2 linked regions of the Oryzias latipes genome follow. The protein of the gene in region 1 binds, or shares a complex with, the protein of each later gene. Links are inferred from orthologs where the notes say so. Each region holds a gene or a part of one and is shown on either strand. Other genes may lie near its edges. The genes, in order: tapbpl and orla-uba.

Region 1 (15,908 bases):
CCCTCTCCAGCCGCCCCTCCTCCGCCGCTGTGAGTCCGTTCTAACAGCTGCATAGAAGATGTGAGTATTAATGCGGCTTTCCTGCTGCCCCCCCCCCCCCCCCCCCACACACACACACACATACATTAACTAATAAGCACAGCCAGGTCATGATTAATCTAGATTATTTGAATGTATTTCTTTTTCCTCAAAGTGAAACTGTTAGACCCTTCCTTTTTATTTCTTTTATTCCCTTGATGGTTTCTGCTGACGCAAGTGAAAATTTCTGTCTGAGCTCTGGTGAATTATTCATTCTTTATTCTGAGGGTAACTGCTGTCACCACTTAAACCAACCTGGGACTTTTTTTCAATCCAAATTTTTGTCTTAAACAGATGAATGCTTTTTGGATGAGAAGTTCTCTGTGCTTCTTGCTTTATACATCATCTCTATCACCGTCCAACCATTGTTTTTGTGGTCATCAATGTATATTTTTATTATTCTCCACTTCATCATATGTTCTTCATTTATTCAGTTTTTTTATTTATTTTTACACCATTTTTGTTCTCCATTGCATCTCTTAACCCCTCTTTTTTTCCTAAATTTTTGCTTTTCAAGAAGCTTTTTTGCAAACATTTTTTCGAGGTTTTTAAATTTACTTACCAAAAATAATAACAGTTTTAAGCCATTGCAGAAACCCAGATCTAACTTTTTTTGTTGTTGTATTTTACATTGTTTTTTTAAACAGACCCATTAAAAATATGCACATGTACATAATTTAGTAAGATCTAGGGAAAGCATATATGTTATATATGTGCAAAATATAATTAAAAAAGAACTGTGAAGAATATTTTCAATTCCATTTTTCAGGTCTGCTCCAGATGCTGCCCCGCCAGCTGCAGCTCCAGGTGCTCCAGGAGCACCGGGCCCAGATGGAGCTCCAGCCGGCCCACCCAACACGTCCAGCAACCGCAGGCTACAACAGACACAGGCCCAAGTTGAGGAGGTAAGCAAGACTGAAATATCTGTTTTGTCAAAGAGATATCATCTAAAATGTTAAATGGGAAATGCAATGTATTCTTGTCTCCTTTATTTATCAGACTAAATGCATTGCCCTTTGCAGGTAGTGGATATCATGCGCGTGAACGTGGACAAGGTTCTGGAAAGAGACCAGAAGCTTTCAGAGCTGGATGACAGAGCAGACGCTCTGCAGGCCGGAGCCTCTCAGTTTGAAAGCTGCGCAGCCAAGCTAAAAAATAAATACTGGTGGAAGAACTGCAAGGTGGGCACATTAGTCCGTGATGGACCATTACACAGACTCCTGACAAAGAGACACTTATATTGTAATCTCTGTTGAGCATATGCCAGTTTAAAGTCAGAGGAATGCATGTAAAACTACATAAAGTGGTAATGAGCTGCTGTGGAAGCAGCTCTGATGCTTCAGGGCAGAAAGAGAAAACCCATCAATTAGTCCAGTTTTCACCTGAAACTCTGAAATATATTATTTTGTACAGACTTGCTCTGATCTTTTGGAGATGGTGACCCGTCTTTTGTGGTTTTCATTTTTCAGATGATGATCATGATGGGAATCATTGGAGTCATTGTGGTTGGAATAATATTCTGTGAGTAGAAGGTGCCTTTGGTTTGAAAGTGGCTGAACACGTTCACTGGCTCTCCTCCCACAGTTATGGTAGCGCGTTCACACGATGTGATAAATCTCATGACACAAATGAGTCACTTCATTGGTGCTGCTAAACACTGAATGTTCCATAAAACAAAAATAAATTAGGCCTCATTTTCTTGCGCTGTCAGCTTTTTGCAGAACCCTCAGTGTTCTACACCTTATCACTAGATTTTGACCAAAAGAAAGAACCCAAGTCTGGATCTGAACAGATGACATGTGCTTTGCATTGCACTAATGACCACTCTTTTCTCCATCTGCAGTGTACTTCTTCTACTGAGCTCCTCCCATCGCCACAGATGGATATGAACTTCAGGAGGATGTAGGGGGGGGGGATGAGGAGAAAAACCAGAACTAACCCAAGCGCCACTCCTCCCCTTTTTTCAGCCATTTCTTCCTTATCTTCTCAGCCTTCCATCAAACATGACAGTAGTTTTCAAAGATGCTCTCTTCCTCATGTTGCTTTGCTCCCCTGTTCTCCATGAGGTCTCTTTCGTGCTCCCCTGTCTCTGCTCCTCATGTATTATTGAAGGCTGCATCCGGCAGAGTGAAAGAGAAGGACGGAGATAGAGGGATGTTTAGGGGAACAAACGGGAAAATACAAAAATGGGAGATTTAACAAGAGTTTGTAGTCTCCAGTCCAGTCAAGCCAAAGCTTTGTCTCATTCATTTTTTTGTTATTCTTGTTTGCTAACTAACAGACTCTCTTTCATCAAGACTGCTGCAATCATTGCTGCTTACTAACCGATGTTAGATAAAGTTATTAAACTTTATGTTGTTTGCTTGTGAGAAATTGTCCAAAATCAACTTAAGCTTTTACCAGTAACTTTTTCCATTTCCTGTCCAACTTCCTGTCACATGAGAAACTTGTGCAAAAAGATTACAAGAAAGGAGAAATGCAAAAAAGGGACCTGGGAAAGGAGGAGGTGATTCAGGGAGAGGTGGTAGGAGTATTGAGTAGGAGTGTCCTGCATAAATAAGAAACCTAATTTAGAATCGATAGCTATCAGTGAAGTAGTCTTGTAGATAAACTCAATGTTAGCCTGGGGTTTTGGGTGGCATTATGCTAGATCTAAAATACAAGATGAAAAAACACAAAGCAGACAATCTCCACACAAACACATGAAGAGGACTGAGAGGAAAGTCTCATCACTGGTGTGGACAGAGTCACAGCCATAAGCTGATGCAGCATCGCCTATCAAACTAACTTGTTTGGACAGTTTTTTTTTGTTTGTTTTTTGGTGCGTCTCCATATGGTTATGAAACAGCAGGATTGCTGGGAAAAAGAACAGGATTAGGAAAGTCTGAGCCAGGCCTCGCCATCCCCTGCTGACAAAAAAAAATAAAAAACGGACTCATCTGTCGCCTGAAGAACCACAATGGCCTGAAGGAGGTGTGTGTTTCTAACCTGCATGGCAAACGGTGTCTGTAGTTTTGCCTTTTGTGTAATCTCTGTGTCTGCCATTTCTGATTCTTACTGCCGATTGTACATTTTTCTTCAGTTAGTGGGATCCCAACGTCTTTCTGATCGAACAGATCTGCATATGCAACGTATAATGCAACCATGCTCACAGGTTTGCCAAGTTTTGTTAGAACCACTTGCTTTAGTAAGAGAAAAATAATATTCAGACACCGTAAGCAAACACTATTATTATGAACTGTCAATAACATGTAGTATTGTATTTGTGGAACCATCGTACCCATCAGTCAGCTTATGCTGAAAATGTTTATACTAATTCCTTCAGGTCTAGAAGTGGAGGCTGCTGTATAATTTAGGATTGGTTTCTTTCTTTGGACTGATTCTGAAAGTTAATGAAACAGAAAAAATATCAAGTCAATGTGCATTTCTGCACAACTGAAGAGCTAAGCCAGAAGTATCGAAATATATTGTGTATCAATATTGTTGGGTAATTGAACCTGATTTAAGAAAAATAAATGGGTTTGGTGACCTGAACATTCACGATGAAATGCAACTGGATTTGCAAAATAGAAATGCATGTCTATCACTTTTGCTGATGTCAATAAAGAAATCATGAAGTGCACCGCATTCATAGTGGATTTTTATCCATCCAATCATCCGTTTTCTATACCTGCTTAGTCCTTTTCAGTGTCAATGGGTTTCCAGAGTCTACTGAGTGACTGTTGGGCAAAGGCGTAGGGCGCCCTGGATCGTGCACCAGTGCATTGCAGAGCCAAAGACAGACAGACACACTCACGCTTAAACCTAAAGGTCACCAGTTTACCTTTAAAAGTATGTTTTTGTACTGTTGGAGGAAGTTGACGAGCCCGGAGAAAACCCACACATCCATGAAAAGATCAAAGAGCCGGGATTTGAACCAGGGCCTACTCACAGTAAGGTGAAAGTGTTACCCACTAAGCCTGTATCAATCAGTCAAAAATATATTTCTATTACGTATATAAATATGTGAAATTTCCTTTTCATCCAAAGGTTATTTTTATCATGAACAATTACCACTGACCTGATATAACATTTCTTAAGGAAACACAGCAAATTGTTTTTGTGGAGTTTGAGAGATTAGAGACTATTAAACCTTAATGTAATTAGATTACCAAATAAATGCTTAAAAGGCAAAAGGTTAAATTCAAAACCAAAAAAATAAAATACTGACTTTTATTTTCTTTTAAAATATTTGTAGGTGGTTAAAAAATTCTTGCTTTTGCAAGTGACCTCAAAAGGAGCCAACAGATTATTTCCATTAACTCATGAGTTGTTTTCACACGAAGAATTGATGAAATTTGAGTATTTTACTCATCACAGACCAGCTAAAAATCGAATTCATGGCAAAATGTATAAACGTTTAACCCCTTAAATTTTTCATTTGCCAGTAACCTAATTACCCGCAGGTCACAGACACATCCAACTAGATATCTAAATCAGGTATTTATTGACATTTACAGCTATAGATATGCATTATGCATCCATCAGTTCTCGGAGGTCTATTGCACATCACTGTTTTGATCTCCAGCAGACAACTTTCCCACGGCCAATGGCATTGAGGTTATATCCTACCATATGCCTAATAAACAAGCTGCCATTTTTCTCAAGAATTGTTTGAGTTAAGTTGGGGTCATTTAATAAGAAAGAATAATTTAAAAGGCCAGTAAATGGTTGTTTTGTGTGCTTTAGAGGCCATATTTCCAACTTTTTGTCAATGCAATAGAAGACAGTATTTGTAAAGAGGCATAGAATTAGATCCACAATGCTAAACAACAATCTGATGATGTCGAAAACTGGGATCACTTTGTTACAAGTGACTTTTCAAACTATACTTGCTCAAGTATTGCATTGTTATTAAGAGTTTTTTGTGTGTATATGTCCCAAGTTGGGTTTTGATTCATAAGATTATTGAAATTTAAGATGTGCTCTTCTGCAGGAATAGGCTGTTCATACATGAAGTTGCATTTATATGTGTTCTTTTTGTTTTGATGCAAATTTCCAAGACCCTAGGTAGAGTTCAGTGTAGATGTTTGCTTCTTTGTGGAATGTTAAATTTTGAGATTTCTATTCAGCCATCTGTTAACAAAATCATGTATAATACTGGCTGTGAAATTGCATTGTTTATTTTATATCTAGTAAATGTTTAAAAAAAATACTTAAACAGTTCAGTGGTATTGTGGAGAGTGTCCACCCTGAGATTGGAAGGTTGTGAGTTCCATTCCTAAGCCGAGTCATACCAAAGACTAAAAATAGAGTAGATAGAACAAAATAGAGTTGTCTGAGATGTTCAGCAGACATCTACAATAGCTATAGCTGTCTATTAGCTATCTAATAGAGATCTTGTGCCTGGTGGGTAAATTTAAAAAAAATAATTAGATAATTTAGCTTTGCTTGACAGGTAAAGAATTAGAAAAATGTAATTTTACACCTCTGGCAAATCCTGTCTTACTAGAGAGGATTTGCCATAATCATGATACATCTGACATTAAATGTATAAAAGACATGAAAAAAAAGAAGAAGTCTGTGGTTGGAGACAGGAATAAACATGTGCCACTGGAAGCTGTCTCCTAAAAAATGATTTGAAATCTTTGCTTTTAAAAAAAATATATTTTTACTGCTTGGTTTTTACATGAACAGGTACAATTTTTTGAAATAAAAAGAATAATCACAGCTTCAAACTTTAATTTGTTAATAATCCAGTGTCGGTTTACACACAAGGTCATAGTGTCACACAATGTAATGCATTTTATTTGGGCACACAAAACGTACTTTTACCCTGCTGTCCCATTTTTGTGACGAACTGTGCCCAGATAAATGTTTGACAGGAAGAAAAGCATCAAATCCCAGCAATAAACACAAACGTTCTTCAATAAATAAAAGACGGACCTGTCTCTCTTGATTGGATTTCCTGATTCACCATTCAGCATTGCACTGTAAACTAACAAAAACCCGAATAACACTTTAGAGTGTCATTGGCAAAATAAAGAAATCCTATTAATACTACAAAAAGACGAGGACAGACCAGAAAACGGTGTTGGCTCTCAGAAAAACATGAATGTAGGGATGCAGAGCCATGTTTAGTTTATAATCTCTTGAATTTATCATTATATATATAAAAAGAAATAGCTTTAGACTTAACAGGGAAGTGTTTAAGGATGTAAGGATGACAAGCACCTTCTCTACAAATATCAACGTTTTTTTTTTTTTTGTTGAGTTTTTGTAAAGTCAAACATGCAAGGATGAGGGTCAAGTAATTTGATAGAATGTTGGAAATGCCTCTTCTCCTCTGTGAGTAAGTAGTTTGTAAAATGTTGCACTTTCATGATGAATCAGGAAATTAAGATCTTTTTTTTTACTCCAAATATTAGGTTCCCTGAGATTAAAAGAACGATAACTGCAGCGGTGGGATTAACCCTACCAAGATAACAATTCACAATAAAATTGTACAACTGAGCATACGAAACAATATTAAACAATTACAATTAATTAAATACAATAAAACACATTTATTGTTTACCTTTAACTCAATTTTTTTTAAAGCTATGAATTGCTTAAAGACTGACACAGTAAAACCAAATTTTTGCCTCTGTTTTATTTCAGAAGTGCTATGATTTATTTCATAACCTGGTAGAAAAAAAGTATGGTGACGATCAGGAAACCCAGGAACCACCAGTAAGAATCTGTAGAAGAAATACAGTATATTTATTCATTTGCAGACATCAACTCACAGGTGCCGTGAATGTTAATCACTTTTCCATAACGAAAAGTATTCAACTTAAATCTGTCCTTTATTTTTGAATCATAAGGCAGAAGAAATGAAAAGTTTCTCACCAATAAGAACATGTGGCCTTTGATTAACAGTCTAATTTAGTAAATTAAATACTTCAAAAACCTGATTTAAACATTTCAAAACATATCTTTAGCCTCTACAAAGTCATATTTGTGGTAAATACATACCTATCTTAGGAGTTTCAACCAACACACTGACATCGAGAGGAGCATCCAGTCCTACGTGAGACACCCTGCAGATGATCTTGGTTCCTGGGGGGACGGCGGGAGGCACAACGAGGTGAGACGACAGGGAAAAAGTCCCGTCACTATGCTGCCGATGGCTGGTTAGGGAGCCCTGGTCTTTGAAGAGTTCTGGCTCTGTGGCAGTTGGAGAAACAAAAAGCCACTCCATCTGAAAGAGAGACCACCAGAAGCTGTCTGTTATCGCTATGGCAAGCGCCACTCTGACAAAGTTGGAGTTCTTTCAAGGACAGACAAACAATTATGATCATATTCTTGGACAAACAGAAAGGTTTTAAGGTTAAATTTAAAGGGTTTAAACATCTGTGGTGATTTAACTGCAGGAATTTTCTCTGAGCAAGAACAATATTTGAAAGCAGCAAATCATTTGTTAACTATTTTCAGTTTCCATTTTAAGTTTTGATGCTCACAACACATTTTTAAGATTTAAAAAAAGTCTTTTAGGCAACACTTTTTATTTATTTATCTGTTTAATTCCATCCATCTTGAGATCTTTCTTTGTGGAGGGTTGATGGAGTCTAACACAGCTGCTGTAGGGTGAAGGCAGGTCATAGCTGGGGAGAAATTTGCATTAACACAGCAAAAACAAAAGTAAATCCTTGTTTTTTTTGCATCACTTTGTCAGCTCAGTACATATGTATTTAACACAACTGTATTAAATCTTAAAGTCATGTACAAATGTGTCTGATTAAGCTTTGAGTGAAAGCTTCGTGCGATAAGGCAGACCTTTTGAACACGCCTATTCTCAGATTTTAGTACGATTCATTAAAAGAATTTCAGCTCTACAAATAATAACATGGAGGTATAAAATCCTTTAAAGTCAATTTTTAGATCTATAATTGAACTTAAAGAATTAAAGAATTCTAAAACAAATGTAAATATTCCATAATCTTTAATACTAAATGAGTACTGACTTGAGCGTCCAGTGGATAGTAATTTCTGCTGAAGCACTTTAATGTCTGGGGTGTTTTCAACATCAACTTTTCCTCTGAGAGGGAAATATGTGGCGGTTCTGAAAAAAAAAGAAAAACAAACAAACAAAAGATATTAAAACTGGATGCATAAGAAATAGGAACTCGTGTTAAAAAGAAACTTACGAATGATGTGGAGCTGAATGACCTGCTGTGCGTGGAAGTGACCGATGCTGACGGTGCAGATGTAGGTCCCCTCATCAGAAACCTTCAGAGCTGGCAGAGTCAGAGACACGTTCCCCTCTCTGACAACCAGCCCAGCATTCATGCTTGAATCTTTCCTCTCCACATTCACTGAGGACACAAATCCCAGAGTTAGATGATGTCCATTCTAGATATAAATACTGTATACGATTTTTAGCTGGTTGCAATGTGCAACTCCACCACTAGATGCCGCTACAGACAATTAATTCAATTGATCTCACGCTGCACTTTGGAGCATCCTTGTAGGTTGCAGCAAACATGATTAAAAACATAAAAGTAATAATATTTTTTGTCTTCTAACCCCTTCAAGATTTTTATTTTATTTTAAATAAAAGCAAAATAAATTAATAAATAATATTAAATAAATAATAAAACTTTTCAATTAAAGTAGCATTCAAGCATGTGTTCATTTTAGGGGAACCACAAAAATAAATAAAATCTTCTTTAATCTTAAAACTCTTGCAGACTTTTTTTTACCGTATTGTATACATATAAATAAACTTTTTTGGATGATCTACATGTATTTTATGATAATATAATTTAAATGTAAGGAAATGTTGTCAAAAACAGACCGTAGATTTAACATGCTTAATTCTAGCGTTATTTTATATTTGTTGGAAAATTTAACGCAAAGTTCCAAAATATGTTTATCAAGAGGATTGTAAACATCAAAATTTCTACAGTTTGATTTCTGACATGAGAGCTTGTTTTTGAAAATATGAAAAAGTAACAATAAAGCATAAACTTTCAGGGTTCCTCTGGATGAAAAGCAGCAAAACGGTTTCTAAAAATCAGCACCATGTCTCTAAAATCCAGCGAGGGTTTTCCTGCTTGCTCCTCAAAATGCTGAAGGAAACTCATTCAGTCTTCACAATGCCCACCATCTGCATGGACGCCTTCTGGATCATCCAGCGTAGTTTTCAAGTCGAGTACTTTCCAGCCTTTTCCCCGGTGCTGCAGCCGCCATTCCACATCTACCTGGTGAGCTAACGGTACTTCTTGCTGCTTGAAGCCACAGTCGAGGACAACATTTCCCCTCAGAGGGGCAGACAAAGACTTGGTGTTGGAAAACACCACGAATATAGCTAGAACACCAATGGACAAAGACAAAAGGGAAAAAATTACAGCTTCTTTAAAAAAAAAAAGGAAAGATAGCAGAAAATTCTGAATATCACCTTTGGTTAGCAGAGTTCCTGACTGACTCAGAGGTAGACCCAGTTTGTTATGCATAAGCGTTGACTGATGCTTTTCCACTGGTAAAGTCTCCAGGATGAGTGAAATGCTGAAGTCCAGCTCCTCCACTGTGATGGACACCATGAAAAAAGTTTGATCTGAGCTGTCCTGCAGCCCCTTAGAAGAGTAACGACTTATTTCACACAACACCTCCAGCTCGTTGCAATCAGCGTGGAGCAACCGGTCTGTGTTGGGAATGTCGGGTGAGGTCACTGTCACAGCGGGATGAGACACATTCATCACAAGGTCCAGCATAAGACTTAGGTTGATGCACGAAGAAAATAGGACAGACCTGAAGCCTCGAACAGAAAGAGCTCCGGATCGGGGACTGAAGGAGGGACGAATGGAGAGAGCATTTCCAAAGGCTCCTCAGGGCCCACGGCAACATCTCGAAGGACAAGGGTGGCTGGCGTCCGAGAGAAGAGGGCACCACCTTCCATTCCACTGAGTCCAGACCCCTCCTCCACCAGGGCACAGGATAGCACTACATCTGCAGCTCCGTCAGCTGAAATACAGCAAGAACACGTCCACTTGTTTTTACCCTGCAGCCACTTTTAACAAGTCAAGGTCAATTTAAGCTCCACTAATAAACTGGCTTCATGTGAAAAGTTGATCAAATCTGAAGATTTGAAGTGAAAGGGAGACAAGTATGTAACTTAAAAGTCTTCTGATTCTCTAAATTATATTGTTTTATTTCTCAATTCATGCATTTATTGTATTGAGCTTACATTGAGGTATGCAATAGCTGGGTTCAGAAAATGGGTGCACATCAAGCACTTTTTCGGGTTTAAAGGCCCACTACGACCATCTTTAATTGTGATTATACCGTTTTTAGGCAAAATCAAAGAACCTATGTTGTTTTCTGGGACAGTTTCAGCAGAGTGGCAGTAGTTGTTTAGAACTCTAAGATGTGGGCGAGACTCTTGGTGCAGAGTGAGCTTGTCTTCTTTGCCCATCATCCCCTTGTGTGTGCTCTCTCCTGCTTGCTTACACACCCTCACCACCCAACATAATATTACCGGTGAAACAGAAATGGCTAGAAATAGTAGTTTATCCAACAGTACAGTTTTGAGTCAGAAAGATGTACATAACAAAAGCTAAAAAAATAATATGTGAAAAGCACAATTTTCTTTTGGAGTGGGTCTTTAAAAACAAGCCCAAGGAAAATAGGAGACTCTAACTATGTTAAATCCACTGTGACGAGATGATGCTACAACAAAAAGCCAACATAGACTATCTTACCATTCACGCAGGTAATGAACAATCCGAAGAAAATGATTTCAATCATTATCAGAGTGAAGTTAACCTGTCATTTGCCCATTTATTAACGATAACTGAATAACTACACTACAGCACTTTCACTTTTGATTTGAAAAGGTCTCACGACGCATCATTGGTTTCTCTAATTTTCTTTTTTCATAAACTATTCATTAAAAAAAACGATTCTCGCGCTCATCACAGACAAAACCTAATAATCGGACGAGTTACTATAAGTTATAATGCTTAGAAAAAACAGACTTTTAGCATCTCACGCGCATGCGCCGTCAAGCTTCAGAGAAGGGACGAGCAAAAAAGCAACCGGAGGGAACTGTCCAATGAGAGAGCAGGAAGGGAAGCGTCACTGGTAGCTGGGTCAAAAACAAAAATACACGTTTTGGTTTTGTTTTTTTCTTGGGGAATAAAAGACGTTTATTGGTAAAACAAAAGAGAGGCTTGGTCTCAGAAACTCTAACATTTATTAAATAAACTTAAACATGGCAGAAACTAAAAAGTAGCAAAAGAGTGATAAAACAGATGACCTAAAAACGAGGAACTGAAAACCAGAAAATAAAACATGACAAGACCTGAGACAATGTCACTAAAAATCCAAGCAAGAGTGCACAATCTTCACAACTCTATTTGAAATAAAATATTTTAAACAACTTTTTGTGTTTTGTGATTCTGGTTCATGTCATGGTAAACTGTGAGTTTGTTTAACTTTTAGTCACACAGTGAACTCTTTTTGTTTCTTTTCTTCTTACTGCCTTTCTGTTCAAACCTTATTATTACATTATAACTAACATATTATAGGCCTACCATAAAAAGTTTTGACAAATCATTTTAATTATTTTACCTTTAATCCCTCATATGCTCATTCATACGCATCACAGCAGTTTGGGTCTGTGTGCTTAAGCATTTCCAAAAGTGAGATTACACTTTTTCTGCAGAGACAAACACACTATAAAATAGGGAGTGTAGCATTGTAGTACGACTACATATTGTATTATCACACATTTAATTATACTTTATACTTATAATGCATTTTATTATAATTTTTATACTTTAGGATTATGCATTCACTGGGTTCTTTACAGACATGAACATTCTGTGAAGTAAGCGCTGAAACCTGCGTCAGTTTTTTGTCTGTGCCGAAAGGATGCAGTAATAACTGTCATTTGTACCAGGAACGGCTTGTCTCTTAACTTTCTTGCTTTTAAGGATGAGCACAGAGCCATTGGATGCCATCCCTTGATTTCCACATGTCGGGTTATAAAACCTGCTAGCTGTGAGGGGGGGGGACTCAGACCAGAGCAGATCAGAGCAGAGGCGAAGCGCTTCTTTCTGCAGATGCCGCTGGCTCTCCCTTTAACAAAAGGTTTGAAAATTCATGCAGACTTGTGTGATTTTTCCTTTTTCCCATTTGCACATCTGTTTTTTCTTATCCTTAACCATCCAAACCTGGGAAGGCCTCGCGCAGCTGCAACAGGAGCACACTATATAAGACTACTGGTCAAATAAATACTTTAACTGGCTTCTCTGTATAGTTAGTACAAGAGCTTGCTGCTAATCTTAAATAAAAATACACGTGCATGTGTGTGTGTGTGTGTGTGTGTGGTGTGTATATGTGTGCATATTTGTGTTTCTTAAGGAAGTATGTTCATTCAAACGATAAGTTAAGTACTAAATAAAAAATGTACATTTGAATTGTTAGTCTACTTTAGAGATTTAACATTTCAAAAATTGTCAAACTGGTTCTTCTAGTATTTAAGTAAAAATGTTTGGATACATAAAATAACAGAGGCTCTATTTTTAAGCAGTTTATTTAAAGTTGATCAGGTGTTGTAGTACGATGGCAAACATTCAACTGAACATTTAGTCGCAAAGTGTTTAGTTAGTTTTTTTATTTTTGTAAATAGGCTAAATCAATTTCTGTTGTTTTCCTTTTGACTTGAGCTGTTTCAAAACTGTAACTTTCAGTTTTCCTGCATGGTCCTGTTGATCCAGTCCAGATACTCAACCACTTTGGTGTAAACTCCATATGCCCCCGCCAACCCACAATCCACACCCCAGCTGACTATTCCAGCTACCCAGAACTGTTTGTTTTCAGTCAGGGTGAAGGGACTTCCACTATCTCCTTGGCATGCATCCTTTCCTCCCTCAGGGGTTCCAGCACAAAACATGTTGTTTGTCAAGTGTGGCACCTTGTGCTTTCTTTCCTTTAGCAAATTGAATGAATCGTTGCATTTCTTACGATCCACCAGTGGGAGCTGCACATATTTCATCCTATTTGTTAGAATCCGGGAACCGTTGTCATTTACAAGGCCAAAGCCAGATACCAGTCTGAAAAATGGGAAGAATCGTGGTGAATGAATATAAAAACAAAACAGCACACATTTACCACTGTTCTTAAAACTTTGTCAGTCAGTGTTTGCTCACCCTATCTTTCCAGTCGTATATGAGCTGTCCTTTGCTGGCAGACACACTGGCATTACAGCTGCTCTGAACGTGAGTGGATTCCCCAGTTTGATCAGAGCAATGTCGTTATTGTAGGATAAATCATCAACTGAGTCATAACCCGGATGGACATGAACGGACTCTGCGTACAGAGGAGAGTTTATCATGGCCCCCACTTCAGTGCCTCCTACATACATCTAAAGAAAAAAACAAAACATTAGAACTATTCTTTCAACTTTACAAATAGGTAGTGATGTACAACTGGAAGATTTAAGAGGGAGCAGAGATGCAGATGCAGACAGGGAAAATACAAATGGTGCCTTTTTTTATAAAGACCAACTCTGATGAAAAATGTGTTTTTGGTGTTTTTAGCATGTTCTTGTGGCTTTTTTCTCATGTTGGAGGACGTATATTAAGAAATATTAAGACAAAAATTGCATTTCTAAGTATTTCTTTAATTGAAACATTGTGAATAAGGAGCTGACGGGGAAAGAAACGCTGTTTGAAAAAGTTTGTAGTGACATAAAAGTTACAATTGGCACGCCACAAGCCTCCTGTTCTGCTCCATTCTGATGCATACACTTGCAGACAAATAGATCCGTGTACGTCTTCGTTTTCCTCGTCTGAGCTGGCTTTAAACTGTACAGCTGGATAGCTCTAACTCTGCTTGCTATTTTATTGCTCCCATAATGTTAGGTTGGGGGTGTGATGGGGCTGTAAGCTAGCAATAGAGCATGTAAACAGACATCTCTCAGTAGCTGGAAGGGGAAGAAGGTTGTTCTGTACCAACGGTGCCTTCCACATCTCAGAGGCAAATTTCTAATGAACTGCTACTTTGCAGGAACTATGTACTTGATAATGACAGGTGTTTTGATTTTGCCTAAAACGATATAATCATAATTAAAAACAAAAAAAAACACTAGAAGCATTTTTAAAATGGCTCAAAAGATGATTGGAATGGGTCTTTAATAAGAATTAGATTAGAAAAAACCTGCAATGAAAATTATATAAAACTGACTAAAATAATTACTACAAATTTACTGATTAAGTCACATGACTGTCCACAGGCCTGGACAGTCATGGATTATTGCCAATCTCTGCAGTCAAATATTTTCTGTAAATGACACTACCCAGGCAGCACATGTACATCTAACCAATGCTATCAAGATTTTTAGCAAAATTTCTTATCAAATTAATCTTTGCTAATCAGGAAAGACACTGTCCACATATGTAATCTAAAATAACCACAAGAATTCCAAATTGGTCTACCTTGCAAGGAGCAACCAAATCCAGAAAAGAAGTCTTAATGGACAATCAAAACACTTAATCCAACAACACTCCCAAAATGCACCTCAGTCATTGAATACCCACAGTGTGGGGAGTAATGATAACACACTCTACTGTTGTGTCAACACAATTTTTTCACACAAAAGCAGTAAAAAAAAAAAAAGTTGAAAAGTCACTCTGAATTAGAGAAAACCCAGTGGCTGAAAGGTGGTCTTCAAGATCCACCATCCTGCTTTATTTCAGACTACTATGTCCTATGTACAGGTCATTTAACGTTAAAATCCCACCATTTGGCCATGTGAATTCTGTTCTCTATATGGAATCTCCTGAGGGAGTGGCAGGCTGTTGTCACAGTGATCTATCAAGCAGAGAGGCATTGGGTCCCATTTTTGAAGAGTCTTTGGCATGACATGGCATGACATGACTGGTGATGGGAACCCAGTCCCAAAGCAGACACTCTACCACAAGGCCACTAAGCTGGTACAACTTCAAAGCATGTTCTGTCAATCCAAACTCTCATGGGTTTTGACCACCATGGTGGATTTTCTCCTGTTAACAGAGGGAAAACAACATCATGTTCATGTCTGTAACATGTGGCATTACTTACTTTCACCAAATCTTTTGAAACTTGTTGTCCTTTATGCGCCAACACATGAGCTGCTGTCATGATCCACTTGTCTGCTATAATGATACCTCCTCCTCTTCCTGAACCTACAGTCAGCAGCACCTGCCAGGGAATGGTGTTTTGTGGAGCGTCTTTTCCTCCAAAGATCCTCAAAAAGTCCCTTATCTCTTGTGTTGGCTGACCACACACTGGAAAAATTATTAGTGTCATTTTATTACACACAGGAAGACACCATATATAATATTCCATATTAATAATCATTCTTTTTCCAATACAAAACCATCTTTTAATATTTCAAAACTCCCTTGCAAAAACTTGTGCAAGGGAGCTGCAAAGAGTGCTTCACTTAATTCTGTTAATAAGGTAAATGTTTAGGGCCTCATTCATTAATGATATGAAAAGTGTAAGAGTCTAAGCCTTGTCACTGCAGCAGAGCCTGGCGACTGGCACCTAAACATATCAAACTTGGAACACATGACAGAATTGTTAGATCAACACATTTCTGTTCACGACAACCAGCACTGATGTTCAAACCTAGCAAGTAATAGATGATTTGATTGACTTAGTTTGACATCTGGACCTGTGCTTTCATGCCAAAGTGTGATCCCTCCACCCTCGAAATCTATTTGTTGTTTGGATTTATCAAGACTTTGCAAACTGTAGACTTGCTGACATTTGGTTGCCATTAGAAACATTATTCTATGTTATTCATACTCAATGTTTTT
Region 2 (17,416 bases), on another chromosome or scaffold:
TGTTTCAAAGACAAACAGTAAATACCGCTGTGCTCCTTGGTTCCTGATGGAGCGCGTGTGATGGTGGCAACCCCCCGCTGTTCATCCACGCCATGGAAGGAGGCTGAAAACCAGTCGGCCTGCAGGTACACGGGGCTGAAGGCGTTCTCCGTGAGGGAGCGGACCCACGCCAGGCTGGAGGGCTGCGGCAGGAAGGGGTTCACTTCACACTGAGGCTTCTTGATGGAGCCGCGGGGCGGGTTGAAAGAGCGGTGGCACAGAGTTTCAGCGGGGTCTGAGGACAAAAGAGAGAAACAATCATAGAATATGATTTCTGATCATCATGGAAGGTTTTTTTGACGATAATAATGACAAACAGACGACAGTCATTTGTTCACAGTCCAGCAGAACTGACCTGTAATGACGTAGATCCTGTCGGGGTTGATGTCAGACGGAGCTCGGCTGGACGCTGCGCCGTCGTCACGCTCATCTTTCCTGATGTGAAGCAGAGTTTTTTCCTGAGTCGTGGCTCCAGCTAAACCTCCACCTCGACCCACTTTCTCCTGGACAAACCAGCACTCCAACAGCGGGCAGCTGCTGCTGCTGCTGCTGCAGGCTGCAGACGGGAGACCAGGAACAGCACAACACGGGAATATAGGTTACAACACGTGTTCATGCTTTGTAAATGAGAACTTTTAGTGCTTTACCAAGAGTTGTAACTAAGTGATAATACAGAGCCACAAGTTAGAATAAAATAATCAAAAAATGAAATAAAAACTGGCTTTATAATGCAAAACTAAAACTGCTATAACCTGAAATTAAAAACAAAAGTAAAAGTGAGTTTCTGTGGTCAAATAAAGATATCTGAACAGTTTAGCAATAATTTATGCTTCATTTATCTGCAGTTTAAATATTTTTATTATCTAGTGGAAAATAAATTATGACAAACAGAAACAGATGGAAAACCTTTAACCCAAAGCATTTTAGCCTAATTTGTTTATGTATTTAGTTTGTACTAGTGTTTTTAGTGACTACATGAGCCTTCAATGTACCTTTAAAAGTTTTCGTGTTTTTTTTTTAAGTTTTACTGAGACACGTAGCAGGAACTTTATTATTTAAACTTAAAGGTTTTTTCCCACTAAACTCCTTAAATAAATATACGTTTTCAAGTAATTCACCCTCACAACCATCATACAACAACATTATTAGAGATATTATAGAAATTAATTTGAAGTTTTCATAAATTCGGCAAACAATCGGCTCACAAAAGAACTATTTGATTTTTAAACGAAAGTTTGACCCAAAACACTTAACAGCATAATTGTTGTTCTTCGCTGCTTTGCTGACGTAAAGCTTGATTCTTTCTAATGTTCCATTAGTAAACAAACTCTTTTTGTAAGTATATTTATCACAGCAGCTGCGTATATGAAACTCGTTTCAGTTTTGTGCGTTTTCTTTGACGGAAGAACGCTGTTCTCTTACCGTGGATGAAGCACCAAAGCGCCACCAGGGAAAGTTTATAAATGGTAGAAAAGTCCGTCATGTTTTTATGTGTCCCATCGACTTTAACTCACGTCTCATCTGTTCTTTTACTCGCTGCAGATCATTAGAGCAGCTGGTTTTCCCCAAAAATATATGCTAGCTCTTTTAGTTTCACTTTCACCTTCAACATGCTAGCGTTAGCGCATAGAGATTTTCACATCAATAAGAATAAAAAGAAAAAAACGAAGAGCAAAATTTGTATAATTGATAATTTAAAAGCAAATATTTAAATTATGTACTTCGAAAAAATGAACAAATAAAATAAAAACAAACTAAAACATAATGCTAACAACGAGTCATCAGGCACCAGACCGCTAGGTGGCGCCACGACCAAAGACATAGACCAGGGGTCGGCAACCCATCGTTTCGGAGCCAAGTGTGGCTCTTTCATCCATCTGTTGTGGCTCCCTGTGACTTTGGAAAATAATGAGTATTTTATAATAATTACATTTTTTTAGTTTGTTCATTTTTCATGGCATTTCAAAGGCGCTGATGGCTCCATACGAAGCGCGAGCCACGTAAAAAACAGCTTCGTAATGAGCTCGTATTTATCGGGCGAGACCTGCAGAGCTGATAGCAGGGAGAGGCACGCGGGGCGGCTTCAATAGACCTTTTTCGCAAAAACCGGAAGTACGTCATCAACGTGTAAACCTAGTTCCGGTTTGTGCTTCGCTGGCGGAGGAATGGCAGAGCCTAGAGTGTTTTCGAAGAGCCTGAGTTGTGTTCCGAAGTTCACCAGCACCGATGTGATGAAGAGTGTGAAGATGCAATCGTCCACTAAAGGAAACAAATTGGACATGGGATATAAATTCGTCCACGAAGAGTTTATCCACCATTACCAAGGTAAGCTTCAGCTAGCTTTAGCCATAGCCGCATCACCGGTAACTCTGTGTGTTTACGTCAACTGTAAATCCTGGTGTTATTAATTTGTAATATAAGGCATCGCAGTGAATATGTTGTGTGTATGTTTAAGTGAAAAGGCATGAGATTAACATAACACCCAAAAATTTGGTGAAGCTGTAAATAAGAAATGTTAAGTTGCCCGTATGCGTGTTCATTTTGCTGCGGTTGCGGCACTTTCTTCACTTACTAGTATTATTTTTCTGAAAGTATGGTGAGCAGAAGTCCTCTTTTCCTGGACATGTCCTCTCTTTTGATACTTATATAATAAAATAACATTGAACATAGATGAAATGTAATTATATTTGCTTCATGTATGCAGCTCTGAACACCAATTACTCTCGATGAAATATCTCACAAACTCACTTCACTCCTCTTTTTTACAAACTCAAATCTGGTCACCCTATTGACAGTTATAGTTTCATGTCATTCTGAACATTGATGTAGCAACATAAGTATGTCCTAATTTTAACCTATATAATTTATTGTGTCTAGATATCACTGGACGCAGAAAGTGCCAACCTGAAAGCTTTCGTCTGCAGTTGTGTGGCTGCTAAAGGATTTTGCAATCACATAGTTGCCATCCTGTTCCAGACCGCACATTATTCACAGCTGGGTCTGCAGGCTGCTCCACCCCCCTGGCCTGCACGAGTGGCTTGCAAAGATGGCACAGGTGGGTTTGTGATCATATTGTCATTATTTTTTAAGAACGTATGTGTATCCATAACAACTCTAAATTATTATAAAAACACCCCAAGTAGTTACTACAGACTTTAATTGCTTTCTGCCTTTTACTTATAAGGGAATCCATCCTGAACCGGTTAGTGAGCTGATGGTGCAAAAACCCAAAACAGTTGGCAGGGACGGTCAGAGGTCCACACTGTACAAGGCATACAGGTGATTAACTTTTTGTTGCTTTGTGAGCAAGTTAAGTTTTTTTTTTTTTAATCTTATGACTAACCAAATTATGGTTACAGCAGATATAATGAATTAAATTGAAATGTAGTTATGCACTTATGTCTAACTTTTGTGTGTTGTGTTTCTCTTGTGTAGGACCACAGCCAGATCCATATGATGGCATCTGGAAGCAGATTATGCCAGGTGCAGCCCCAACCTCTCATGGTTGTGTTGGATGGGTTTCTGAGATGGAATGAAAGAGAACTTGGATATATATTGTGGCAAATGCATGAATGCACACCTTAAATTACACTTATCTTGTCTTTAACAATCAGTTCAGCCTTCTGTCTTACTGTTGATCTGTAATGTTATTTTTTATTGTAAATGTTTGATGTTATTTGCATACCAAAAAATTAAACGAGGCACAATTTTGACCAAAATTGTTTTATTTGTTCATCTAATTTTTTTGTGTAGTCAGTCACATTTCAACAGAAAAATATTACGAATATAACAATTATATTTAATTAGATTTTAAGAATATGTGGAAACACTAAATTTTTCCATACTATTTGCACATTATACATTATTTACATACCAAACATTAATTCACTCTTCAAAACAAAAAAGTCCATGATAATTTGCCAAAACACGGCGGTTAAGCCAGATCTGATTCACACTGCCCATCAGTGTGAGCGGCACAGAGAGTTCCTGATGTGAAAGGACTTTATCCTACTGATCACTCTTTCCACCATAATTCTGAGGCGGGTGATGGCTGCGGTTTGTTCTGTTTCCTCCTTGCTGAATTGAGCTGAAAGCTTAAAAGGTGGAATATTGATCTTAGATCCAATGTCAGTTAGGAGGTCTTGAACGAGGAACTTTTGTCCGCCATGACATCGTCTCCTGGCTCCAGCAAAGGAACTTGGCTTCTAAGTCATGGATGTAATCCAAAGCCTCATCCAGAGCACCTGTGAAGATAAAGAAATTAAAAATCAGTCTTAATATATTAATGCTACCTTTCAACACAACACAGTAATCATGTTTTGAAAAGTATGTTAAGTATTTAATTACAAATACATTTCATTTATTTTTGTTAAGGAAATTACAAAATGACAAAATGCTCAAAAGTGATTAAATACATGTAATTAAAATAGGTGAGAGCATGAACATCTTTTATTATAAATATTAATTTGTTCAGGTAGAAATGCATGTATCCAATAACGGTACACATAGTTGACTAACGTTAACCAAACACATTATGAACAACCTTACCTGCAGGTGGGTGTGTCACGTAGTCGTGATCCATCTTTACTGTCTTAGCTTAGCCACCATGTCGCTATCTTCACAGCTTAGCTGCATAGCCTGACGTTTGAGGTTCTGTCATATTCTGACTCCCTTCTCAAAGGATCAGTAAAGTTGTTCCAAGGGAAAATACTCGGGGCAACACCACTCTTCAGGCGACGAACGACGCAGCCGCACCACAATCCCGGAGCGAAGTTAGTAAGTGCCGGCAGCAGAGGGTGCTACCTGTGTTTACATTAAAACTATGCCCTTCATCTCTTCGGATCGCCTATATCCATTTGGGTTTCAGGTTTAGATCCACAGGAAAATAATGAAATGAAAGGTAAGGCTGTTTTTGGTTGGAAGACGAACAGCCTGGAACGCAACAGAGACTGCAACTCTTCGACTCTGCCATTCTTCATATCTGCTGCTACGCTAACAGGAAGTTGTTTTACATGTCATTGACGTATTTCCGGTCGAAAAATGCGGAAGTGTGAAAAAGGTCTATAAACACTCCGATCTTCTGCCGGGAACTTGACGTACCGCGGGGCAGAGACCAACTCGCTGATGACAGACTGAGAGTTCGCGCCAGTGTTGCCAGATAGAGTCACAGTTTTCCAGCCCAAAAGTCATCTGAAAACCGCCAGACCCAGCCAAAAACCGCCCAACACAAGTTTTGATTATGTTTTTTCCCCGTACTGGACTGATAAAATGAAAAAAAATTCTAAATAAAAGATAGTTCAGACTAATAATAAAATGTGTACAATATTGAATATTTCTTCAGCGGGCCGCCTTCTTCCATTCATTTGCTTAACCCGCTATATCCCCGCTAAAACCTGCGTCCGGCTCTTTCATCCTTGTGCTGTGCTGGAGCGCCCCGAATACCGTATTTTGCGCTCTCTTGTGTAAAATACACCGAGGAGCGCGGGGGAAACAACTCTCAGCTGCAGAGGATGTGAACAGGTGAACAGGTAGAGAGGAAAAGCAGGTGGAGAGGCGGAGGAGGGGCTTTGGATCAAACTCTGTCAGAGAGATGCAAACACGGGCATCAGATTGAGACGCAGCTTTCACTGCAGGAGTTGAAGCAGAGACTTTCCCTGGGATGATTTTATGAACTCAAACATGGAAACATGATTACCAAGTAGAACTCTTCAAAATAATAAACCTGATCTCTCCACATTCTCAGTGTCTACCATGCATTGACAAACACATCGCTCCATGCAGCGATCAGACCAGAACCAGTAGCTCCTCCCACACGCGACCGCGGTATCATCCTTTAAAGAACATAATGTGCATTTGCAGCGACGTATGCTTCAGACGATGTCCGATTGGCCAATCTACATGTCAATCAAGTCCCTTACTTCTCAGTGAGGATTTTGATTGGCTGGTGGATTTTAAAGAAGTACTTTTTTTTTAATCTTTTCTGGCCCGCGATCTACACTCATGTCATTGAAGGTCGACCGGTAGATCGCGATCGACGTAATGAGCACCTTTGAATAATATATACATGCATAATATATATAATGATGTCAAAACGGGTTGTGGCTCCGAGTGCTTTCTTTTTTATTAGGGGCGGTCCCAAATGGCTCTTTGAGTAAAAAAGGTTGCCGACCCCTGACATAGACAGTGGACACAAAAACAAATTTTTGGCACAAATGGAACCTCATACAAATGGAACCTCATAGCGCCACACATCAAGGAATAAAACAGGTTCACATCTAGGAAGCATCCCAAAACAATTTACCGTAGTTTATTCAATTAGCTTGTTTAAAAATGTAATATAAAAGGATTAAAAATATATATATTGACTTTTCCATTCATGATCAGAGTCTTTTTATTACGTGTTTTAGAGCTTTCACTTTTATAGTTATCCTTCAGAAGTAAACAACGGTTGAGGCGAGGCCGTGAATTCTTCCTATTGGAATCCAGCCCGTGAGGACAGGGGTCACCTGAGGACAAAAGGAGCAAAAACAATGGAAACATGTTTTTAAATCTACGAATAAATTTAACTCACAGCGCTCTTGTTTTAATGTTTAATTTAAACGTCTAGTGTAAAAGTAATATTTTTTAACTTAAAAGTTGTCAAACTTTTCAGGCAAATCTTCCTTGCCGCATGAAAGCCTGTGCAAACCCTTTTTAAGATAAGATAATACCAATTGGGACCATTGGGAGTTAGGTCATCTAGACCCAGTAGACAGTGCTCTGAACCTTTTCTTTCTTCAATGATTTGTGATCTTCACTGGTGGTCATGGATTACATGAAATCTTTCCACCTTTATCCACCTTTGTCATGGTAGGGAGAACACTGTAAGGGTGGAGTCATCTAAGATAACACAACGGATAAAGTAAGAACAACAAAATATTTTATGTTAAATTTGAAAGAAAACTGCCAATCACACTACTATGGGTGAGAATTTATTGCCTCTTTCTTGCTGTTTTCAGTGCCTGTCTGTGGAAATATGATGTAAGACAAGTACAACAAGAAGCCTCTTCGTCCTTGCAAAAGCCACCAAGGTAACAAACACACCTATATGCAATTTCCTGGTTAGAGTGCAGACTGAATGCCCTTTCATCAAAACCAAAGACTGATCAGCTGACTTACCAGAAACAGACAGGAGCTGACTGTTTGTGACCAGAGGAGGAGCTTTTGTTCTACTGAAAAGGTTTTGTGGTTTCAAACTTCCCTGTTTTAGATAATTAGTTTAAAGTAAACAATTTAAATAAGAGGGGACAGAACCTTAGATGTGGTTTAACTTTACCATCAAGGTTTGCTTTTGAATACACTTTTTGAACTTTATAGCATCAAATGCAGTTTAATGTACTTTGTAAAAATATATATTATTACTTTATGTTTGTCTTAAGTAATAAAATAGTCATAAAATCAATCCATTGTGTGTCCTGTGTTACTGTTGCCCAAAACAAAACATAAAGCAAAAAGTATTGGAGTAGGGGCATCCTGTTTGTTTTTGATCCTTTATTAAATATTGTTAATCTTACAACTTTTCTCCCCTTCATTTTGTGGACCATATCTTCTCTTGGATAAAAGATTGTGGTGCAGCAAACATCAGGTTTAAAAATAGAAATTACAATCATATTTATTTCTAAGCTGCTTCTAACTGTTCTAAAATAAAGTCGCATATACACCCAAGGATGTGGCAAATTACATCTGCAAACAACAAAGACCACATGACCTAAGAATCGTGTTCTTGCACTTCAAGTACGTTATCAACCTCTCTGACGGCTTTTTGCCTAGACACAAGTGACGTAAAGTCATCGTGTAATTTTCATTGGTCCAAAATAAAAACAGGAGTTCCGGTCTAGGTCTCGTCAGGAGAAGTTCCATAATACAGTCTGGTTTTCCATGAAGAAGCAGGAAATACGAACAATGTAACCGCACAACAGTGATTACCCTTCTTTTTCTGATTTTTAGTGGAATACACAGAGCAGTGGCAGGTGAGTTTATAGTGAATGGGTAGATTTGGGTTATTTATATAATTGTCTAATTAAAGTTGTGTGGCTCTGCGATGGACTTGTCTTGTGCTTGTGGGCTCGTGGTTGTCCTCGCCTATCTGATGGGTTAGCCTTCAGAACACCATGATGATCCAACAACTACTTTAGACATTTCTTTCAAAATTACAGTCATAAGTCATATATGTGTGTGTTTTTTGTTTATTATGGGTCCATCTGTTGTCTCTTTATAAGAACACTTAAAGATGAAATGGAATAACAATTGTTTGTTTTTAGTTAAAATACAGGAAAAAAAATGTTTTTTTGCTTTCGCTTTTGGCTGATGTTATTTGAAACTGAAGGGAATTTACATTGACGACACATAAGATGTACATTGCTGCATTGCCCATATGTATTTTAAGTGCTTTTAATGTTAAATTTGGTTGGTCACACATTTCTAAAGGGTTATTATGAACCCTAACCTTAAACAAAATAAGTGTGGTAAGAAAAAGCTTTAGCACTGGCGGCAAGTATTTAGAAAATTATCATGTGTGCGAAAAGTTTCTTTCTTTGCTTTTAGCTTTTCTTTTTATGACACTTGTTTATTTATTTTATTTTTAATTGTTTTAACCTCTTAGTTGTTGATTCGAATGTTTTTGAGCTTTTATTGTACAGGGCTTTGTTTGACTGACGTCAGTTCATTATAGATAAATTAATTACATTAAACTTCTCTTCTGTTCTAATTATCAGTATGAGATCCGGGAAAAATAAGTCTTTAGACACAAGTTAAAGAGGTTGAAATACTGTGAAGCAGCAGTAAGTCAAAAATGTTAGCATTATTTCCTCTCTTTCTGTTAGAATAGACATAGACAAATAACAATGACAAACAACGTTATCAGTACATTTGATAAACATCTACCGGTAGTTTTTATCATAGGACACCATTTTTCATCTCCATTTATAGTCTGAAGGGTATTTCTGCTGACCTTGTCCAACAAAAGTCGAGAATGTTATAAACGTTTTATTTTAAAATTAATTCATTTAAAATTTATTTTAAATGATTTTAATTGATCACTCAACTACAAAAACCTTGCAGGCTTGCAGTCAGTACAGTATTGCATTTCCAGCTGCGTTCGCTCAGGTTGGGGCCTTACTTCTCCCGCCCCTTTCTCCTAATATTTTTGTGATGATTGACAGGTGATGTTGAAGCAAAAGCAAAAACATACGTCACACACCTGGTGATCTGTTGCTGCGTTGCGTCCACCTGAGTGATCTCAAACATGCTTATTGTGCATCTTGGCTGCACATATTTGGTGTCTCCAACATGAATCTCCATCCGTTTTTTATAAAAATGTAGGAGTAGCTGACCGGCTGCTCTACAATAACTTGTGACTGGGGTTTAAATGTGCAAAAAGTCATAAGATAGAAAATCCAAAAATGTTTACTGAATTTTGTTTCTCCTTTACTGATTTGTGGTTTAAAGAGTAAACTTAAAAAAAAAAAACATTCAACACAGACTCAGAATTGGGAGCACATCCTCTCTGACATCTCCACCTTCAATTTCAATGAGTCCAAGTACAGTCCAGACTTAATGAAAATCATCTTTAAGCCACACTGAGGGTCTCAGTTTGGGAGGAAGTGTTGCCAAGTGTCCAGCAGTAAGAAGAAGACAATAGAAGAACCATTGATGGATTTACAGAACTGTAGAATTGAAGTCTTCTTTAGTGTTTAATAGTTAGAATTCAACAGTGTTAACTGAACTGTGTTAAAAATGATGTTTAAATGAGAAAACAGCAGATATGGAAGATTAAATAAACAGAAATGTATTACTGATTTATTTACTTATTGATTTTTTATTAACATATTTAATTTGAATTAGAGTTTTATAAGTAAATTTTGTGCAGAAAACAGTTAACAATAGAGTATAGTTAACAGTATAGTACATGTTCCATACAAATTTATTGGCTCTCAGACACTCACTAGTTGAGTGTGTGTGTGTGTGCGTTGAAGTTGCGGCCCTCGCTCAGCTAGACCCTGCGTTCATTGGCCCCCAGGCAAATTGAGTTTGAGACCCCTGGTTTAGATCATAGTCACGTGCTCCGACTCTGACGTTTCATTCAATTATTCTCTGATCTTTTGATCCAGAACCCAAGGAACAGATTCTAAACAGGAAAGTGTCAGACTGAGATCATCAGAAGATCCAGAATGAAGATCCAGATGTTTCTGTGTTTTCTGGGACTGAGTTTCCACAGCGCTGCTGCAGGTCAGTCACCAGTTTTTAACCTTTTGATTTGATTTTGAACTGTTTGTGTTTTTATCAATCATTTTGTTCCATAGGAATTTTTGTTTCTTCTTCTTCAATATAATTAAACCGATGAGGTTATTTATATAAAAGTGAAAGAGTTTAAATCTAGAGCGACGTCACTGAAGTCTGTTTTTATTTAGTAAATCTCTGTTTATAACCAAATCGGCCGGCAAGATCATGGCGGTGACTGGTTTCTTTATCGAGCACCGAGCACCTAACTTATTTATTGAGCTTTTTTGAAGCAGCAAGATTTACCTTTTCCTGAACACGATCGGGAAACGTTCTGGATTGTATTTTTTGGATACATTCTACAAATTCCCACCGTTCAAAACGCCAAAATCTGCAAAAAGAAGCTCCGCTAGCTTGTTTTTATGTTAACCGACGAGCACAGTTCGGTAAGTTAGAAATATATTCACAGATTTGGACTTCCGGCCTCAATAACTCTTCTGATAAACATTAAAAAATGTGATAGCAGTTATCTCAATGCATTTGTATTAACACAGATAGGGAACTACAAATGCATGCCAAAAGAAAAAAGTTCGGGTTTTTTTTTTGCCTTTTGATCACAATTGTTCTCTTCGAGGTGTAAATGCAGACATGCAGCGAGCCAGCTGCCAAGCGACCGTTAACAAAGTGCAACCTCTGTGCAACACTTTTCTATAAAAATCAATAATCTTTTAAAAAGCGAAAATATCTACATTTATATGAACTGGTAATGAAGACCTGTCAGCATATTCATGCTACAATAAATATTTTGTGAGAAAGTCCATCTTTATTATATTTGATTGCATACATTTTTCACATTTTATTAGATGTATGAATCATAAATAAAATGAACAACAGCTTTAAAAATACTGAAGCTACAGTCACCATACTTCCTTTACCGACTAATTATGACCTTACTGTCCGACTACAACACAGATTTGGTCAGATATCCACTTTGTTTATTTTTAGGAATTTTTCATATAGAAATATGGTTCATATTTTGTCAAAAATGTTTAATAACTCTGAAAGTTCTGAAGCTACATTCACCAAAATCTTTGTACTGAGTAATCATGACTTGATTGGGTAAAATTATATTTAGAGAAGAAACTATTTATTTCAAAATTTGTCTGTGAACAAACTTTACTTGTAATTTCATCAAAAGGATTACTTCTGAGTACACTCCAGTGTTACTAGTAAGGAAGTTGGTTGAAAAGTAATGAAAAGTCTGTAAAGAAAGTTTGGTAACAGAAGCTTTCAGTATTTTCAGAGCTATTAAACATTTTTGACACAATATGATCCACATTTCTATATGAAAAATTCCTAAAAAACAAACAAAGTGGATTTCTGACCAAATCTTTGTTGTAGTCGGACAATAAGGTCACGATTAGTCAGTACAGGAAGTTTGGTGACTGTAGCTTCAGTATTTTTAAAGCTGTTGTTCATTTTAATTATGATTCCTACGTCTACTAAAAGGTGAAAAATGTATGCAATAACTTTTTTTTTTTTTTAAACTTGTCCTGTCCAACAGCTAGGTAGGCAGATAAGAGCTGAGGGCCTCTTGTGTTGGACATATTTTACTTTAACAAGAGGGGTTATTAATCTTCAGACAAACCAAAGGTGTGACTGGACAAACCCCTTTTGTAATTGAGGCCAAACTTTATTCATTTCAACCATGATTGAAAATCTTTGGTGTTGGACCGGACGGAAAAGGAAAGAAGGGAAGAAGAGGGAGGGATGTCGGGGGGGGGGGGGGGGGATAGTGAGAGGGGGGGGTAAGACCATGAAGCAACATAGAGCAGACAGGTTTACTGGTTGTTTATCATTACGGTACAGTTCAAATGTAGTTCAAAAAGGGCGGGGCCTGTCCACACACACACTCAAATATTATCAACACACCTGCTAACTGCAAAAAAAGTTCACATGTCAACATGTACACAAAACAGATAGTGTTCACGAACGCATACCTTTGCCTTTAAACCAACTAGTGTGAAATCTTTCATTCATTCAATCATGCAAACTATAAGTGCAAAGGTGAGCTAACACCTGTGCTCAGGTGGGTGTTTATGTTCTTCTAAAATGGATAGTGGAATGTGAAAAGAAGGAGGAGGAGCGCCCAGCCACCCCCACACCCAGACCCCCGCCCCAGCAGCAGCGGCAGCCGGAATTCCCCCAACGCCACACGGGAACAGGCAGGGAACAACCGCCCCCCGGGCGACCAAGACCGCCACCCAGGCCAGGGCCAGCAGGACCGCCGCGAGGCCCCCAGAGCCAGAGAGCAGGGAGGCGCGGAGGGAAAGAGAGCGCCGCCCCAGCCCAGCCAGGAAAGCAGCCCCCCCGCCGCGCCGGAAGAGCCCAACGCAGGGCCCCACCGGAGAAGGACGCCCACAGCCCCAGACGAGCACCCCACCACCACCCAGGAGTTCCGGGCATCCCCCTGCCCCAACCCCAGGTACGAGCCAGGACCCCCCAAGGGAGACCCGCTCCGCACTCCAGGCAGCCACCCACCCGGCCCACGGTTGGTCCAGGGAGGGGCAAGGCAGGGGCCTGCCGCCCCCGCCCAGGAGGGGGGAGCCCCGGGGAAAAAAGGGTGGCCCACAAGGGGTGTTATAAATATGGCCTGACCAGGCTCGGCCATGTTGGAAGTTTGGCGGGGCCCAGCGCTCAGGGGCAAGGACCAGGACCCGCCCCCCAGGGACACGAACACCCCCGGCTCAGGTGTAGTATGAACCCCCCCACCGTGCGGAGAGAGCACCGCCGGGCCCAGGGAGCCGGCACCCAAGGGACACGGCCGCCATCGCCAAGATGCCTGCACCCCCCACCAGGGAAGGGGTAGGGGACAGATGGACCCAGGTCCCACCTTCCTTGCAAAATGTGTGTGCGTGTATGTGTGTTTGAGAGGGTGTGTGTGTGCATGTGTGTGTGTTTATGTTGGAATGCATATATTGAAGGGGGAGGGGTGTGTGTACTAAGGGGGGTGCAGTTAAAATTGGCGAGTAGGGCACTGAGGGGACATCTCCTGATTACTCACAGTGATGTCCCCTCACCCTCCCCACCAAGGGGCCCTAAATGTCTAAGGTTAAATTTGGCGGGTAGGGTGCCAGGAGGACATCTGCTGCTTGCTTGCACTGATGTCCAAGCACCCCCCCTACCAAGGACCCTACATGTCTAAGGTGCAAATAAATGCGAAAGAGGGGGGGCCCACTCCATACGGCAACCATAGGAGGGGGGCCACTGCCAAGTAGCCCCCCCCCCAAGGCGCATCGCAGGCAAGACCCCCCACCCCCTCACCCTAATATGAGGTTATATGAGGAAGGGGGTAAGTTGGGGACAGCTGGTAGACTGTCCCCAGGTGGTCAAACAGCTGTCCCCCAGCCCCCCCCCAGCAAAGGGGCCAGGGCCACCCAGCCCAGGGGCCCCACCCCCGGAGGCGCCGACACCCCAGGCCCGGCACCACCCACCCCACACAGAGAGAGAGGAGCCAGAAAGCGTCCCCCCCCCCCCCCGGAGCAAGCCCAGGCCCCCACCCCCAGACGCCGGCCCTAGAGGAGCTCTGGTCAGGCCTTGATGGGACCGAGGAGGCCAACCGGCCGAGGCAACCACTGATTGCCTCAGCGGAGACCCCGACCCGCTAGCCCCCCCGACCCGTACCAATAATGCCCCCCCCTCCCCCCCCAGAACGCCCCCCCACAGGACAGGGCCGACAAACCCCCCACCCCACCCCACCCCAGACCCCGCAGCCGAAGCGGGTGACACCCAGAGCGACCGGGGGCCCCGAGAGGGTTGTCCCGTCCCGTCCCAGAGCCAGGGAAGGGCCGATCCCAGCCCCAGGTGCAGATGGGCAGCCCATCCGGCGCCGCAGGGCCCCCCGCCAACCCCCCCCAGCACAGGCAAAGGGACCACCCCCCCAAGCCAAGCCAGACCACCACCCCACCCCCCCACCACGCACCACCACACCCAAGCCCAGAGGACCACGCAGCGCCCCAGCCCGCCACACCCAGGCACCGGACCCGACCCCCCGACCAACGGAGCCCCCACCGCCCCCGCCAGGCACCGGAGGCCCCGACCCCCACCCCAAACCACAGCAGAAGGGCAAGGAGCAGCGACGACCAAGCCCCCCACCCCCCTAAGTCATGAAGTCAACCACAGGAGACCAGAGAGACTGAATTCTTTCAAAGTTACTTGAGCTTTGGGCTGACATTTTTTCCAAGCTGATATGATCAAACAGCAGATTTCTGTGTTGACTTATGTTTATATGTTTCTTGTTTTTCCAATTTATTAAAATCGTTTTTTTGGCAATACAAAGAGTTATGAAAATGATAGATGCTAATCCTTCTTTTATATCGATGGCACTCATGTCACCAAGCACACAAAGTGACGGTGAGGCCGTGATTGAAACCTTAAGCCAGACTGATAAATCGGCACATACCTGCTGCCAGAGAGCCTGGACAGGAGTGCAGAACCACAGTGCGTGCATGTAGCTGTCGGGTAGATTATTATCACAGTACTCGCAAATGTCTGAGTTACTGAGACCCATCTTGAACATCCTCTGTCCAGTGTAGTAAATTCTGTGAAGAGTTTTGAGATGGATTAGCTGCAGATTTGGACTTTTTGTCAGTTTAAAGGTGTTTAGACAGAGTTCTGACCAGAAGCTTTCAACTGTGCTGATGCTCAAATCTGCATCCCATTTTTTTGTTGGAAGGGCAATATTGTTATCTAAATTACATAAAAGTTTGTATATTTTGGAGAGAGTTCTATTCATTGAAAAATTAATCAGAGTGGTAACTACATCTGGTAGCTTTAAATTGTCGTCTTTAAATTTATACTTTTTAGTAATACTTGATTTAAGTTGCTGATATTCCAAGAAGTTATTTATTCCATGTTTGTCTTGAAGTTCCTGGGGAGTTATGAATCTTCTATCAATGCAATAAAATATAATTGAAATGCATTTGTAGTTCACTATCTGGGTTAATACAAAAGGATTGAGATACTTGCTATCACATTTTTTAATGTTTATCAGAAGAGTTATTGAGGTCGGAAGTCCAAATCTGTGAATATCTTTCTAACTTTACCGAACTAAGGAGCATGGCTGCTCTGGCAGCAGCATGGACATACCCGTGACTTCGGAGGAGGAATTTCCTTCACTCCCAGTGACCCCAAGTAAGCCTCCCCTTGCTAAAAGGCTTACTATGCCCTGGTCCACGAAGTCTGATGATGCAGTTAATATGCTCGCCGAACAACAACAATCAATCAAGAAGTGATGCTTTTGAAAAAATGGTTAAAACCGTCTGTTCCGAAATCAAACTCATAAATGACAAAGTTGATGTTATGGAAAAACGTGTGGAGAAAAATGAGGAATCTACATCGAGATGCTTGGCGCAGGATGCAGATCTGGAAGCTTATGGTCGTCGATGGAATCTGGGGCTTTATGGCCTTCCTGTGGCTGAAAGAGGAAACCGTGCGTGAGGAGGTGATCAGCATTTGCCATCACGTTTTGCTGGAAGGTTTCATGATGCTGTTGATGTTGCTCATCGGATTGGAAGAAAACGCCAGGAGGACCCAAGGCCTCGAGGTATTCTAATCAGATTCATCTCCCGGCGCCTGAAGGAGGAGGTTTGGAGAACGGCCAAGAAGAACGGATTTCTCCAAGCTAAAGACTTGGGCTTCAACGAGGACTTAACAAAAGAGGACAGGGAGTGTCGGCAGAAGCTGTTGCCTAAAATCAAAAAAGCACATGAGGAGGGAAAGGCGACTTACTTCCTGGGAGGCCGTGGATTTATTAATGGGTCAGAAGTGCACCATGAAAAGAGAAAGATGAAGGGGGAAAAAAAGAGAAATTCTCTTTTTTTTTTTGTATTTTTTTCTCAACCATGTGAGGAGTCCTGTGTGTTCTCTGCATTATCAGGAACTTTCCCCCTTCTCAAATCCCTTTTCAGTTTTATATTTGAGTTGATTCCCTCTTGTTTTGTTTTTGTTGGGGGGTCGGAATGGGGGATGGGGGTCGCAAAGGGAGGAAGAAGAAGGGGCATGAGAGAGAAAAGGAAAATAAAAACCTTAAGAGTTTAACATTTTTGTGAACTAAAGCTGCTAAAATGGATTCAATAGTGCTGTTCTTGATATTGCACTATTTTTTAAATATTCTTATAGTGTTTATAAAACATAACTTGTTTTCTGTGTGTTGTTTATTCTAGTTAATCTGTTTACTCTATCTTCTGTTTCTTTTTATGCCAGGGGACTACGCAATAATGTTAAGCTCAAAGCTTTATTTCTTTTTGCAATTTCACTCAGATCTCTGTTATTTACAAGAGTCTCATTGGATATCTGATGATACCAAATTCTGGAAGTGTCAGTGGGGTAACTCTTTATGGTTTTCACAGGGTACAGAGCGATCAGCTGGGGTAACAACTCTAAAAAATATCTGTAGTGGGGACATTTTACTTACTAAAAGTGATCCATCAGGTCATTATATTTGCCAACTACTACAATGTGATAATAATATTGTTATTTCAGCCAACATTTATGGATACAACACTGTCAAAGAAAATGATCAACTTCTTATCTCTATAGAAAATTTACTGTTAGAATGGTTAGAAAATTTTCCCAAAAAGGATCATATTATTGGGGGGTGACTTCAATAATGTCCCACATAATAATGTAGATAGGTGGCCTCCTCGTGGGCTAGATGGAAGCAACACCAAGCTAAAGAATTTTATAGAGAAATTTGACCTCCATGATAGATGGAGAAGGAAAAATCCTGATGTCAAATGCTTTACATGGAGTAACAAAACTGGTACAAATAAGTCCAGAATTGACTTTTGGTTGGTCTCAAAAAGTGTCATAATTATTAAGATAAAGTTGTCCACCAAGTTTTGTGGCCCGCATTCAGCTTATTGGAAACTGAATAGCTCTGTTTTACTGGATGACTGTTAAAAAACAAGTCAAAAGACAAATAGCACAATTTTTGGTCTAAAGTTAATATAGACAAGAAATTTGGTGTATACTGGGAGGTTTTTAAATTTGAAATGGGTAAATATCTTAGAAAAGTAAGTAGTGATAAGGCTAAAAGTAGAAGAGCATGTGAGGTAAA

The links.
Region 2: the proteins of tapbpl (region 1) and orla-uba are in contact, whole or in part, in an NMR structure (PDB 7RNO), measured with the Homo sapiens proteins. The link is inferred for Oryzias latipes from reciprocal best matches to the Homo sapiens genes TAPBPL and MR1. Residues at the interface, in NP_060479.3 of Homo sapiens: His47, Arg48, Gly49, Ala50, Ala52, Ser53, Ser54, Leu129, Met131, Thr132, Glu133, Thr135, Arg228, Gln230, Lys232, Gly233, Arg234, Gly235, Thr280, Ile282, Gln293, Ile295, Gln297, Arg307, Leu308, Ser309, Ile320, Cys321, Asp322, Leu355; in NP_001372090.1 of Homo sapiens: Arg101, Arg104, His105, Asn107, Thr129, Gly130, Phe131, Leu132, Gln133, Ile143, Phe144, Asn145, Asp147, Thr148, Leu152, Ala153, Val154, His159, Thr160, Lys162, Gln163, Ala164, Ala167, Asn168, Gln169, His170, Thr213, Phe214, Pro215, Asp248.

What each region holds. Positions count from the first base shown.
Region 1 is NC_019874.2:20,323,659-20,339,566, forward strand, and holds tapbpl (tapasin-related protein), read right to left. Parts: upstream 11,070-15,908; 5' UTR 10,846-11,069; coding exon 10,800-10,845; intron 10,063-10,799; coding exon 9,850-10,062; intron 9,770-9,849; coding exon 9,500-9,769; intron 9,410-9,499; coding exon 9,206-9,409; intron 8,415-9,205; coding exon 8,247-8,414; intron 8,162-8,246; coding exon 8,064-8,161; intron 7,301-8,063; coding exon 7,075-7,300; intron 6,798-7,074; coding exon 6,730-6,797; 3' UTR 5,783-6,729; downstream 1-5,782. Other genes in the region: vesicle-associated membrane protein 2, read left to right, coding at 59-60, 848-983, 1,101-1,259, 1,548-1,599, 1,922-1,938; uncharacterized protein LOC101173495, read right to left, coding at 12,791-13,157, 13,254-13,468, 15,166-15,371. UniProt on the Homo sapiens protein: Component of the antigen processing and presentation pathway, which binds to MHC class I coupled with beta2-microglobulin/B2M. Association between TAPBPR and MHC class I occurs in the absence of a functional peptide-loading complex (PLC).
Region 2 is NC_019869.2:15,982,517-15,999,932, reverse strand, and holds the start of orla-uba (major histocompatibility complex class I-related gene protein-like precursor), read left to right. Parts: upstream 1-7,931; 5' UTR 7,932-8,048; intron 8,049-10,187; 5' UTR 10,188-10,247; coding exon 10,248-10,305; intron 10,306-17,416. UniProt on the Homo sapiens protein: Antigen-presenting molecule specialized in displaying microbial pyrimidine-based metabolites to alpha-beta T cell receptors (TCR) on innate-type mucosal-associated invariant T (MAIT) cells.